Caenorhabditis elegans: one gene and its partner. The main gene of each other region encodes a partner of the protein of the gene in region 2 in a complex. Each region holds a gene or a part of one and is shown on either strand. Other genes may lie near its edges.

What was found.
Region 1: cic-1 (region 2) and dpy-22 share a complex: the UniProt entries of both Caenorhabditis elegans proteins name them as parts of the mediator complex.

Annotation. Positions count from the first base shown.
Region 1 is NC_003284.9:9,819,235-9,824,166, reverse strand, and holds the start of dpy-22 (Mediator of RNA polymerase II transcription subunit 12), read left to right. Parts: upstream 1-1,893; 5' UTR 1,894-1,996; coding exon 1,997-2,104; intron 2,105-2,276; coding exon 2,277-2,384; intron 2,385-2,433; coding exon 2,434-2,657; intron 2,658-2,742; coding exon 2,743-2,986; intron 2,987-3,031; coding exon 3,032-3,129; intron 3,130-3,195; coding exon 3,196-3,372; intron 3,373-3,416; coding exon 3,417-4,932. Other genes in the region: GTPase-activating protein rrc-1, read left to right, coding at 115-203. UniProt on the Caenorhabditis elegans protein: Component of the Mediator complex, a coactivator involved in regulated gene transcription of nearly all RNA polymerase II-dependent genes.
Region 2 is NC_003281.10:2,395,183-2,403,156, forward strand, and holds the start of cic-1 (Cyclin-C), read right to left. Parts: upstream 6,040-7,974; 5' UTR 6,027-6,039; coding exon 5,995-6,026; intron 5,948-5,994; coding exon 5,841-5,947; intron 5,785-5,840; coding exon 5,673-5,784; intron 5,621-5,672; coding exon 5,499-5,620; intron 3,404-5,498; coding exon 3,209-3,403; intron 787-3,208; coding exon 605-786; intron 475-604; exon of another isoform or gene 425-474; intron 1-424. Other genes in the region: Sterol 4-C-methyltransferase strm-1, read left to right, coding at 6,917-6,979. UniProt on the Caenorhabditis elegans protein: Component of the Mediator complex, a coactivator involved in regulated gene transcription of nearly all RNA polymerase II-dependent genes.

The DNA of each region.
Region 1 (4,932 bases), on a different chromosome or scaffold from region 2:
AAACATTTCTTGTGGTTTTTTGATCTGTACAAAATAAATCTTAGCCAAATTTGGTCAATTTCCAGCCACAAACACTATAATTTCACAATAACACAATAATTCTTGGCGTTTCAGATCAACGAGAACCGATAACTAACCTTTCTCCAGCTGCACAAATGCTCTTTTTCGAATCTTCTCGAGCCAGTCATTTGTTCTCTGCATAATTGAATTTCCACCTCTTTCATGATATTTTTGTTCATTGTATTGTTGACTACTTTTTCAACTTTATTTCTTTATCGTCTTAAATTTTTAAAGAACCAGTGTTCCATTTTTTCATTTCCTCATATTTTTCTTCTACTTCTCAATTGTCTTCAAGCAATTCCTGATCATTTTTATTTTGTTTCGTGTTTTTGATTATAAATTATTTATATACAAACACACAATTTTCAAACAATTGTGATGCGTGATAACATCGCTGAATTGTATTTTTGAAATTATAAAAGAAACGCGGAATACAAGACCTAATTACTAGAATTTACTGAATTTAAATAAACACTTTTTAGTGATTTATTTCGTTTTGAAAATTTTCCGCGATCCTGATTTGAAGAATTATAACAATTTCAATCAATTCTAATTTTTATTTTCAATATTTTGTTCAAAGTTCAAAACGATATTGTGGAGTTGTAAAAAAAATTAAAATATATATTCAAATATGCATTACATTGAAACATCAATCGGGGGATTTGCCCTATGACATTCTGAAATGAAGAAACTTAGAGTTTTTTTCTTCCGTTTTCATATAATTTTATCTGACATATGACATTTTCTCTCATCATTTGTCCTTTCTCATAAATTTAAATTTGCGAGAATGTGATTCTAACTGCAGACAATACCCAGATGTTGGAATTTTTTGCGCGTAAGGTCGTTTTTAGCTTAGTTTCAAAAAAACTTCGCTGGTTTTTTGTATAATATCAGTAAACTGCCTGAACATCCGAAACCATATTCTGAAACAACGCGCATTAAAGTTATTAAAATTGCACATATTCAAATAACAAATATTATCAGTTCATGCTGATCTGTAGGTGATATGCATACTACTTGATTTCCTTTTTTTTTTTTGGGTTCACCATCTTGGAATATTAGCTCATTCACAACTCCCAAAAAAGTCTACTTTCTTATCGTTCTGAAAGTTGAAGTTTTAACGTATTTACCATTTCTTACAACAATACAATTTTCCCTGCAATTAAACAAACGACTTATGAGTGGACCATTTTGAGAAAATAGCGAGACAGTTCCGATCGATGGGTCTGTGTGCCTTGCTGTGCAGCACTCTCCATCTCTGCGTCTCTCTCTTCCATCAGTGTATTTCTTGCTGTGTTCTGTGTTCTCAGGGGCCAATTCTCTATTTCTTTCCAACTGCCTGCTACTCGCCGTTTGTGCGTTTCTTCCTCGCTTCTCTGCGTCTTTTTTACAGCCATCTTTGAATGTCATCATCCGTACTGGGGTTGATGTGTTTCTTTACAATCGATGAAAGGTGCTTTATGAATACATCTCTGTCCACATGTTGAGTTTAATTTTTCACTTTTTTTAAAAGCTCACATTGTGTTTTTTTAACTAATTGGGAACCCACAAAATTTTGAATATTGGATTTTGAACACAATTTTAGAGTTGGAAAAGTGAACTAGACATGAATGATGATATTCCAAAAAAAAAACTTTTTAATACTTATTTTTTTCACAATATTTTCTAAATAAATAGAACCCACTTTCCTTTAAATTCTTATTCGTTCCTCCTTTCATTTTTCTGTCAGTTTTTATGTTGTTATCACTTAAAAACGTCGCCTGATTGTATTTTTTCTTTTTCTTAACATATTATCTTCAAAATTTGGGAAGTTATTGCAAATAAAAAAATTTTAGCAATCATTTCGTACCCATCGACGTCAGTGGTAGACGACGAGGACGACGTCTACCCCGAGGATGGCGTCGCCTCGTGGTTTGACGAGCAGCCCGGCGAACGTATGCTCCGGAAAACCAACCTTCGAATGGGAACTGCTGATGTGTATAAACAAAACAAGAATCAAGAAGAGGATATGTTGACAACGGAACGATTAAAGAAAGGATATCAGGTGAGTGTCGTGCCAGGGCGAGGAAAAAGATGCTCAAACAGAGTGCAATGTAACTATGGAGGTACTAGGGGATGATTAGCTTGGTGTGTGGCTAGATGTTTGATGAGCGTAAAAAGAAACAGAGAAAGCACACGTGAGGATATGAATTATACAACCCGAGTTTTGATTTTAGATGCCATTAACGCAATACGAGCTTCAATCATTGGTTTTCAACGCATCGGAAAATAAGCTAATTCGTCTGGAGAAAGCTCAAAAACGATCTCAGTCTATGATTGCTTCTGTGAGTCATTTTCAACAATTATATAAGTGAGTAAATATGTTAATTTCAGGTTATTCACAAAAAAGGAGAGTTCCACATGAATTATGACAGAGAACGTAAAATTCCAAAGGAACAACTTCCGTGTTTTGCACCACATAACTGGAAACGAATTTTGTCAGATCGAGTGAAATTCTTTTCGGCATTAGCTAGAGGAACTCCTCTTCAACAACTTTCACAAAGAATCCCTGGATTTAGAAGGAAAGAACTGCTCTTTTTGGAGTTTAGCGATTATAAGTGAGTTGTTTTTAAAATTCACAATTAAAACAAATGTGAATTATACTGTGCTAACTGAAGAATGTTCTAAAGTTGCCTATTTCAGCATAAGCTACGATCGGGCAATATGGTGTGTGAAACTTCTTTGTATCCTTGGTTTCAACTCTTCAAGCAAGACACAAAAGAAAACATTACTTGACGTTGCAACTCTAGAACTGAGCCAAGCATGCAACAAAACAACAATTTGGCTCGTAACCCAGCTTTACAAATCTTTTCGAAATCCCATAAAACGAAGAGAGGCTACTAAAACATGGAATTATTTGACTGGATTCATGAAGTATATGTTTGATGTAAGAGTTTTATTTTTAACAGAAATTTTATTAGTTTTGTTATAGGATGGTGTCCTTGATAAACAGGAGTTTCTCAACGATCTCACGGAAGTTTTCAATCAGTTGTTTTTGCAGAAAAACTTTAAGAACCCTTCAGTTTTAAGGTAAGCACTGCAAACTTTTCCAAATTAGATAACCCATGAACTGATATTGTATTAATAACATTTCAGCACATTCATGAAATATTATGTGTATTTTGTCGAAGATCTCAGCTCCAGTCTGGTGTTAGCTAGACGGTCCTCCACTCTGCTTTGCCAAGCACTTGGTTTTCTATTCGAAATGGCACAGGATAAAAGGAAAATTGATGCGTACTACGATTCTGCTAATAAAACTTTCATTAAGAAAGAGTAAGACTTAAATTTATGAGAGTTACAAAAAATCAAAAATTCAGATTTGAAAATGAAGATGGCGAAATTTACGAGTTTGAAGATTACGATGACTTCATTGATATGTTGGACGAGATTCCTGATGTACCCTACTTTGATGAGACTGACAAAACACCAGAAGCACAAGCTGAAGAACTTATCAAGCAGCATGAAAAACGAAAGGCAGGCTCACTCAAAAAGTCTGAAAGGAGGAGAAGAAGAGGATTGTCAAAAAATCGGCCAAAAAAAATGCCACAGAATCCTTCGAATGAAGCTTCTCTTGATCACGATAAAGTACAGATTAAACAAGAACCGATGGACTATGATGAGTATGGAGGTCAACAATCAGACAATTCTATGGATTATGACTCTTTCTCACATCAATATGATCCATCATATGAGCCTTTACCTTTCAAGCCACTTCACACAGATATTCCAAAAAAACTCACTGACGATGAGGAGTTCAAGTACATGAAGATAGGCAAGAGATCTGTCACTCCTGAACGTATTAGTGGTCGCTATGGTTCAATGACGTATCCTTTCTGGATTCAGCAGGGCGGAGTTGGAATTGATCCACCAAAAGATGAAGTACTGGATTTCTCCAATCCAACACCAACGGAAACTGTCAACACGCAGCCACAAATTGATTTTGAATCATCTCCCAGCGCTTCGCCAGCTCTTTCTGTCGATAAAGAAAATGAATGTGAAAAGAAAGAAGATGAATCTAAAACTAAGGAGAAGAACAAAGATAAGGAGAAAGACAAGGAAAAAGAAAAATCTGTTGATGAGCATACGAATGATCTGGATGTTCCGATAAATCCTGACGATGCTGAAATGGCTGATGCAAATGATAAAACCGATGCTTCTGAAAAACAAAAATTAGTTGAAGAAGAACCTACCGGCAAAGAAAATGAAGATGATACCAGTTCAAAAACGGCAAAGACGTCTACATCAGCAGAGAAATCCGAAGCTCCCTCCATTGTCGATTCTAATGACAAAATTGATAAGGAGCCAAATGCAAGTTCAACAAGTAACGATGAAACTTCTAAAGATGACACAGTTCCCATGGAATCAGATCCACCAGCTGCCACTGAAAAACCAAAAGAATCCACTGAAATTACCACCGAGGAACCACTGGAAGTCGACAAAGCGCCTGAAGTTGATAAGTCTGAGAAAGAACACGAAGATGATATTATGATCATTGAGTCCAACAAAAAAGCAGACGAGGATGACTGTGTTGTTATAGCTGTGGTGGATCCTGATCAGGAACAAACTCCGGAAAGTGAGAAGAAAAAAGATGGCGAAGAAGAAAGGGACAAAAACAAGGATACAGATGTGGCGGATAACGAACCCGAGAAAATTTATACCGACGAGGAACTCGCTGAAATCAAAATCCGCAAAGAGAAGGAAATGAAAATTGCAACTTTGGCTTCCCATATCAAAGAGAAAATGGTGTCAGACAAAAAATGGAAAGAGAAAACTAGCCACGCAGGATGGAGAACACTTGATCAATGCAGTCAGTTCAGTGAAGCGCTTCATTTG
Region 2 (7,974 bases):
CAAAAAAAAACGTTAAAGTTCAAAAAATGACCTTATTCCCAATCGGTGGCCTAGAAATTACAAAAGTTCGGCCATCAGCCAAAAAACTCGGCCACATGGGTAAAAAGGTCCGAAAAATTCGATTTTTCAGTTTTTTTTCACTGAAAATCACAGAAGCATCGATTTTCGGGGATTTTCCAGCTCAAATTGCACAAAAATTCAGGTTTTTGCAATTTTTGAGTTCAATTTTCAAGAAAATGCCAAAAATGTCAAAGTTTCCGTTCTTGACTTTCTAAAATCACAAAAATTCCCTTAATTCCGATTGGTGGCCTAGAAATTGCAAAAAGTTAGGCCACCATCATTTTTCGGCTGAAAATTGGCAAAATGGGTTAAAAAACTCGGGGTTTTCCACATTTAAAGAAAAATGTTCGAAAATTCCTATTGGTGGCCTAGAAAGTAAAAAAGTTAGGCCACCAACTTTTTTTCGGCTAAAAATGCTTAAAAAATTGTCTATTTTCGCGGAATTTGCTGGATTTTCTTGCAAATTCTCTAAAAATTGGCAAATTTCTCGAGTATTGGGTAGAATTTCACGGGAAATCTCAATTTTCCGGTAGAAATCCGAGACCTTTTCAAAATCAGTGTCAACTTCGACAAGCCAAGCTTCCAATTCTTCTCCACGGCCCATTAATTCCATTGCAACCATAATACTTGATAATCCAATGACATGTGGTGGAAAAATCAATGAAACATCACATCTTAGCGAATCATTTGCCACTTTTTGACATTGAGCTTCAATTGCTTCCAGATCTGCAAAAAAATGGAGGTTTTTTGGTGAAAAATTGGATTTTTTAGTGAAAAATTGAAAAAATTAGAAATTTTGAATTTTTTAATGAAAAAATGGAAAATTTTGGATTATTTAGTGAAAAATTGGAAAAATCGAATTTTTTTGAATTTTTTGGTGAAAAATTGGATTTTTTAGTGAAAAATTGGAAAAATCGAATTTTTTTTGAATTTTTTGGTGAAAAATTGGATTTTTTAGTGAAAAATTGAAAAAATTAGAAATTTTGAATTTTTTAATGAAAAAATGGAAAATTTTGGAATTTTTAGTGAAAAATTGGAAAAATCGAATTTTTTAGTGAAAGATTGGAAAATTTTGGATTATTTAGTGAAAAATTGGAAAAATCGAATTTTTTTGAATTTTTTGGTGAAAAATTGGATTTTTTAGTGAAAAATTGAAAAAATTAGAAATTTTGAATTTTTTAATGAAAAAATGGAAAATTTTGGATTTTTTAGTGAAAAATTGGAAAAATCGAATTTTTTTTGAATTTTTTGGTGAAAAATTGGATTTTTTAGTGAAAAATTGAAAAAATTAGAAATTTTGAATTTTTTAATGAAAAAATGGAAAATTTTGGAATTTTTAGTGAAAAATTGGAAAAATCGAATTTTTTAGTGAAAGATTGGAAAATTTTGAATTTTTAGTGAAAAATTGGAAAAATCGAATTTTTTTTGAATTTTTTAGTGAAAAATTGGATTTTTTAAGTGAAAAATCTAATTTTTAAGTTAAAAATTGGAAAATTTTGAATGATTTTGGGAAAAATTGAAAAAATTGGAAAAATTTGAATTTTTTGAGAAAAAAAAAAGGAAATTTCTGAAATTTTTTAGGGAACAGTGGAATTTTTTTGATTTTTTTTTTTTGAATTTTTTGGTGAAAAATTGAAAAAAATTGGAAATTTTTGAATTTTTCAGTAAAAAAGTGGAAAATTTGGAAAAATTTAAATATTTAGTGAAAAATTGGAAAAATTCGATTTTTTAGTGAAAAATTGGAATTTTTTTTTGAAAATTTGAATTTTTTAGTGAAAAATTGAAAAAATTAGAAATTTTGAATTTTTTTAATGAAAAAATGGAAAATTTTGGAATTTTTAGTGAAAAATTGGACAAATGGATTTTTTTTTGAATTTCTTAGTGAAAAATTGGATTTTTTAAGTGAAAAATCTAATTTTTTAGTTAAAAATTGGAAAATTTTGAATTTTTAGAGAAAAAAAAGGAAATATCTGAAATTTTTTAGGGAACAGTGGAATTTTTTTGATTTTTTTTTTGAATTTTTTGGTGAAAAATTGAAAAAAAAATTGGAATTTTTTCGTGAAAAATTAGGATTTTTTTTGTGAAAATTCAGTTTTGTTTTAAAAACATTTTAAATTTTTAAGAAAAAAATTCCGAAAAATTCTTCGAAAAAATTGAGGTTTCCTAATTTTTGGCATATTTTTTGTAGGGGAAAATCAAATTTTCTTCAAAAATTGAATTGCAAATTTTCCACTTTTTTACTGAAAAATTCAAAATTTTCCAATTTTTCACGAAAAAATCCCAATTTTTTTCAATTTTTCATCAAAAAATTCAAAAAAAAAATCAAAAAAATTCCACTGTTCCCTAAAAAATTTCAGATATTTCCTTTTTTTTCTCAAAAAATTCAAAAATTTCCAATTTTTAACTAAAAAATTAGATTTTTCACTTAAAAAATCCAATTTTTCACTAAGAAATTCAAAAAAAATTCGATGTTTCCAATTTTTCACTAAAAATTCCAAAATTTTCCATTTTTTCATTAAAAAAATTCAAAATTTCTAATTTTTTCAATTTTTCACTAAAAAATTCCAATTTTTTCCAATTTTCCCCTAATTATTCAAATTTTTCCAAATTTTTCACCCAAAAATTCCAATTTTTTTTCAATTTTTCACCAAAAAATTCAAAAAAAAAATCAAAAAAATTCCACTGTTCCCTAAAAAATTTCAGATATTTCCTTTTTTTTTCTCTAAAAATTCAAAATTTTCCAATTTTTAACTAAAAAAATTAGATTTTTCACTTAAAAATCGAATTTTTCGCTAAAAAATTTAATTTTTCCAATTTTTCACTAAAAATTCCAAAATTTTCCATTTTTTCATTAAAAATTCAAAATTTTCCAAATTTTCCACTTTTTTACTGAAAAATTCAAAATTTTCCAATTTTTCACTAAAAATTCCACAATTTTCCATTTTTTTCACCAAAAAATTCAAAAAAAAAATCAAAAAAATTCCACTGTTCCCTAAAAAATTTCAGATATTTCCTTTTTTTTTCTCAAAAAATTCAAATTTTTCCAATTTTTATCGATTTTTTTCCCAATTTTTCCTGGAAAAATCGCAATTTCTCCAATTTTTCACAGTTTTTATCAAAAATTTCCCGGGGGGGGGGGGGGGGGCACCTTTAATAGGTTGATTAGCAATAGTTGATTGTTGAGTAAATTGTTTCAAATCTTCTAATAATTCAAACATTGGACGTGATGCATGATGTACAACAAGGCAACAATCAAGAATTTCAACGAGAATAAACTCGGAATCGTAGACAACTCCATTTTTTGTCGATGTCGTCTCAAATGTCACTCCCCATCGTTTTGGCACTGAAAAATGAAGGGATTTAGGGGCGCGAAATTTGAATTTTTGAGGGGAAAATTTGATTTTTAGGCGATTTTTTGGACTAAAACGGGTTTTTTATCGAATTTTTGACGTTTTTAGTAGAAAAATTGAATTTTTGAGTGGGAGATTTGATTTTTTGGCGATTTTTTGAAGTAAAACGCGTTTTTTCGGACAATTTATGGGTTTTTTAGTAGAAAAATTGAATTTTTTAGCGGAAAATTGGTTTTCAGGCGGATTTTTTGGAGTACAACGGGGTTTTTTCCCGAATTTTTTGAAATTTTTTGCATTTTTAGTAGAAAAATTGAATTTTTTAGCGGAAAATTGGTTTTCAGGCGGATTTTTTGGAGTACAACGGGGTTTTTTCCCGAATTTTTTGAAATTTTTTGCATTTTTAGTAGAAAAAATTGAATTTTTGAGAGAAAAATTGATTTTTAGACGAATTTTTGGACTACAACGGGTTTTTTATCGAATTTTTGACGTTTTTAGTAGAAAAATTAATTTTTTAGTGGGAAATTTGATTTTTTGGCGATTTTTTGAAGTAAAACGCGTTTTTAATAGAATTTTTCGAAATTTTTAGAATTTCTAGCAGAAAAATCGAATTTTTGAGGGGAAAATTGGTTTTCAGGCGGGTTTTTTTCGAATTTTTTGAAATTTTTTGCATTTTTAGTAGAAAAAATTGAGTTTTAGACGAATTTTTGGACTAAAACGGGTTTTTTATCGAATTTTTGACGTTTTTAGTAGAAAAATTGAATTTTTGAGTGGGAGATTTGATTTTTTGGCGATTTTTTGAAGTAAAACGCGTTTTTAATAGAATTTTTCGAAATTTTGGGTATTTTTTAGCATAAACATTGAATTTTTGAGTGGAAAATTGACAAAATTCTGTTGTTTCTGCTGAAAAACTGGTTTTTTAAAAGAAAAATTGAATTTTTGATTAGAAAATTTGATTTTTAGGCCATTTTTTGGCCTAAGAAGAGGTTTTTATTCTAATTTTCTGTGATTTTTAGCGTTTTTAGCAGAAAAATTACATTTTAGACGGATTTTAGGACTAAAAAGGGGTATTTTATGAATATTTTCTGAACATTTCGGCGTTTTCCGCAGAAAAATTGAATTTTTTAGTGGAAAATTTGATTTTCAGGTGGATTTTTGGACTAAAACGCATTTTTGGTCGAATTTTTTACAATTTCTGGCGTTTTTAACAGAAAAATTGAATTTTTGAGGGTAAAATTGATTTAAGGCGATTTTTTGAAGTAAACCGGGTTTTTAATTAAATTTTCTTAAGTTTTTGGTTTTTTTAGCAAAAAAAAGATGAATTTTTGAGTGGAAAATTGATAAATTTTGGTTTTTTCTGTCGAAAATAGATTTTCAGGCAATTTTTTTGAAGTGAAAACGAGTTTTTTATCGAATTTTTGAAATTTTCGGCGTTTTTAGCGAAAAATCGAATTTTTCAGGTTAAAAATTGACAAAATCCGATTTTTCCACACAAAAAACGATTTTTAGACGAATATTAGGACTAAAACGGGTCTTTATGGGTATTTCCTGAACTTTTAACCGTTTTTAACAGAAAAATCGAATTTTTAAGTGGAAAATTTGATTTTTAGGCGATTTTTTGGACTAAAACGGGTTTTTTTCTGGTAAGTTGGGCGTTTTTAGTTTTTTTAATTAAATTTTTCTGAAAATTGGCCGTAATTTTTTTATTTTTGGCGTTTTTAGGAAAGCATCGAATTTTTGAGTGAAAAAGAGGCAAATTTTTCGAGTTTTTCGAGTTTTTCAGCTTAAAAATCGATTTTCAGGCGATTTTTTGGATTAATAAGCGGAAAATGAGCTGCAAGAGTGGAATTTCAAATTTTTTTGAGACAAAACTTGACTCAAAAACTGTTTTTTTTTTTTGGTTATTGAGGTGATTTTTAGAGTTTCTAGCTGAAAAATTTGGATTTCAGCGGTTTTTAAGTGAAAAATTGATGTTTTTTCCGGGTGTTTTTTCGGTTCAAAAGCCTATTTTTCACTAAATTTTCCAATTTTCAGCCGGATTTCCGCGTTTTTCTGCCAATTTTTTGCAATTTTTCCGTCGTAAAAACGCACAAACGATAGCTGTATTTTTCAGAAAGCTTGAGACGCTCAACGTAGTGTGTTCTTCAACTTTACACGCTAAAAATAATGCTGTAGAGGCTACGAGGAATGGGCACATGTCACGGAACGATTGCCTGAAAAATTCGACGTTTTTCCAGGTTTTTTATCATTTTTTTCCGAATAAACCTTAGATAAAATCGCTTAAAATAGATAATCGCAGTTGCAATAACCTGTTGACGGAGTTTACATCCAACATTTGCCTGTGAGTGGGCTCCTTCTGTGGCGACGGCGGTTATAACTGAAAAAAAACCAAAAATTATCGATTTTTTCGAGGAAAAAGTAAGGAAAAATTACAATTCGCCCAGAAAATATTCAATCGATTGTACTCTTCCTCGTTATAAATCTTCATATCCTCGGCGCGTTGCTTCCAAATCTCGGTTTTATCGAAAATCCATTGTTGGCTGGAAAAAATGGGATTTTTTTGGGTTTTTCAATGGGATTTACTTACCAATGACTGCTTTTCCAGAAATTTAAAGCCATTTTTCAACTAAAATCATTAAAAAAATGAAAAAATCGAGAAAAACAGTGGAAATTGAGTGAAATCGATGAAAATTCGAATAAATAAGAATAAATTCGGAGTGTGGATTTACGGTAAAGAACACGCGCCTGCGGGATTCCGGAGTGTCGTTGTATGTCTTTACGCGGTAGTTTAAATCGATTTTTTAAAGCTGGTGGATTATGGCTAGTTTAGAGGGGGTTTTGAAGTTTTTTTTTGTGAAAAATTCAACAAAACGTAGTCAAAATCCTTCTTCTGTGTTAAAATTCAAAAAATTCCATTAAAACCGAGACAAATCGAAATTTTTCTGCAAAGCCACAATAATTAATAATAATTTGGCTCATTTTTCAGAGTTTCTCATGAGTTTATGATTTTTGTGTCAAAATGCTTCCAATTTGCTTTAGGTTTATGTCAACTACATTTCACCCGTCTCCAATCCCTCTGACCACTTGAACTTTCACTTTTTCCCGAAACTAGGCGGAGTCTGGCGGGGGTGCTAGTGAAAACTATCCAATATGACACAGTCACCCATTTCTTGGATGAAAATCCGGCAATTTTGTTTGCAAAACTGAGCAGAAATCATCATTTGATAAGAAATTCGCACCTTTTTGACCTTTTTGACGCTGTAGTCACTGAGCAAATAGAAAAGTGGTACAAATTGGCTGGAAAAAGTCGTATAAAGGAGCTTTTTGGGGAGTTTTAAAGTGTGAAATTGGCTTTGTTAGGTGCTAATTAGTATATTGGAGATTTTAGGAAAAATTTAAAATTTTCGAAAAAAATTTTTTTTTTCGAAATTTTTTTTTCAGAAAATTTTTGTTCGAAATGTTTTTTTTTCAAATTTTCAGATTTCCAGCCAATTTCTTCGTCTATAAACATGTCCATCAATATGAATGCCAACTTTTTGAAGCTTCTCACCCATTTTCGGCGTCACGATTTGGTAAGTTGAATTTTTTCCCAAAAATTTGAAATTCCGACCTATTTTTGTTTAAGTCTTAATTAATGCAATAAAAATGCGAAGATTTTTCTTTGTTTTGTTTAAAAAAACATTTTTATAGCTTAAAAATGAGCAAAGTTATAGGATTTTTTCTAAAAATTTTTTATTCCAAAAAAAATTTTATTTTTTGAAATTTTCAACATTTTTTTAGTACGATTGTAACTTTTTATTTGAATAAAATATTTATCTACAATCTGCTTTAAAAATTATAAAAAAAATCTTAAAAATGAGAAAAGTTATGGTACTTTAAAAAAAAAAAAACTCAAAAAAATTTTTTCAAAAAAAAAATTTTTTTTTTTCAATTTTTTTTTAAAATTCCCCCCCAAAAGTACATTTATTTCTTATTAATGTTATTATGTACTATCACATCTTATCAGTACGAAACCCTTCGTGTTCTTCTGTTTTATTGAAACCAACGGAATATAAGGTGACGAAATGAATTTGACCTACTTTTTTCTGTTATTTGCGCCGCCGCCGAAAATTGGTGAAGAACAAATAATTATTGTGACCTTGTTAATGACAATGTCAATAATAGTTTTATAATAAGAAAGGTATTTACTTTTCCGGAAAAAAAAAATTGAAAAAAAAATTTTTTTGAAAATTTTTTTTTTTGGAAAAACATCAATTTTTTTTAAATTTTTTAACTTAAAATTAGTATCAAAATCAGATTCGTCGTCAAGTTCTACCCCTGAAACACTTTTTTCCGACTTTCCTACGCTAAATTCAACTTTCGCGGGATACTGTAGCCTCAAAAGTACGCAAACACTTCAACACACCAGATCTTACGACAAAATGCAGAAAAATCAATATTTTAACGCAATGTCATGCTTAAAACTGAATTTTCCGCAATTTCATAGGCAATTTAAGCATTTAGTAAAATTTACAGAGTAGTACTGTAGCTTCGAAAGTACGCAAACACCGATTACGAGTTTTCGGCG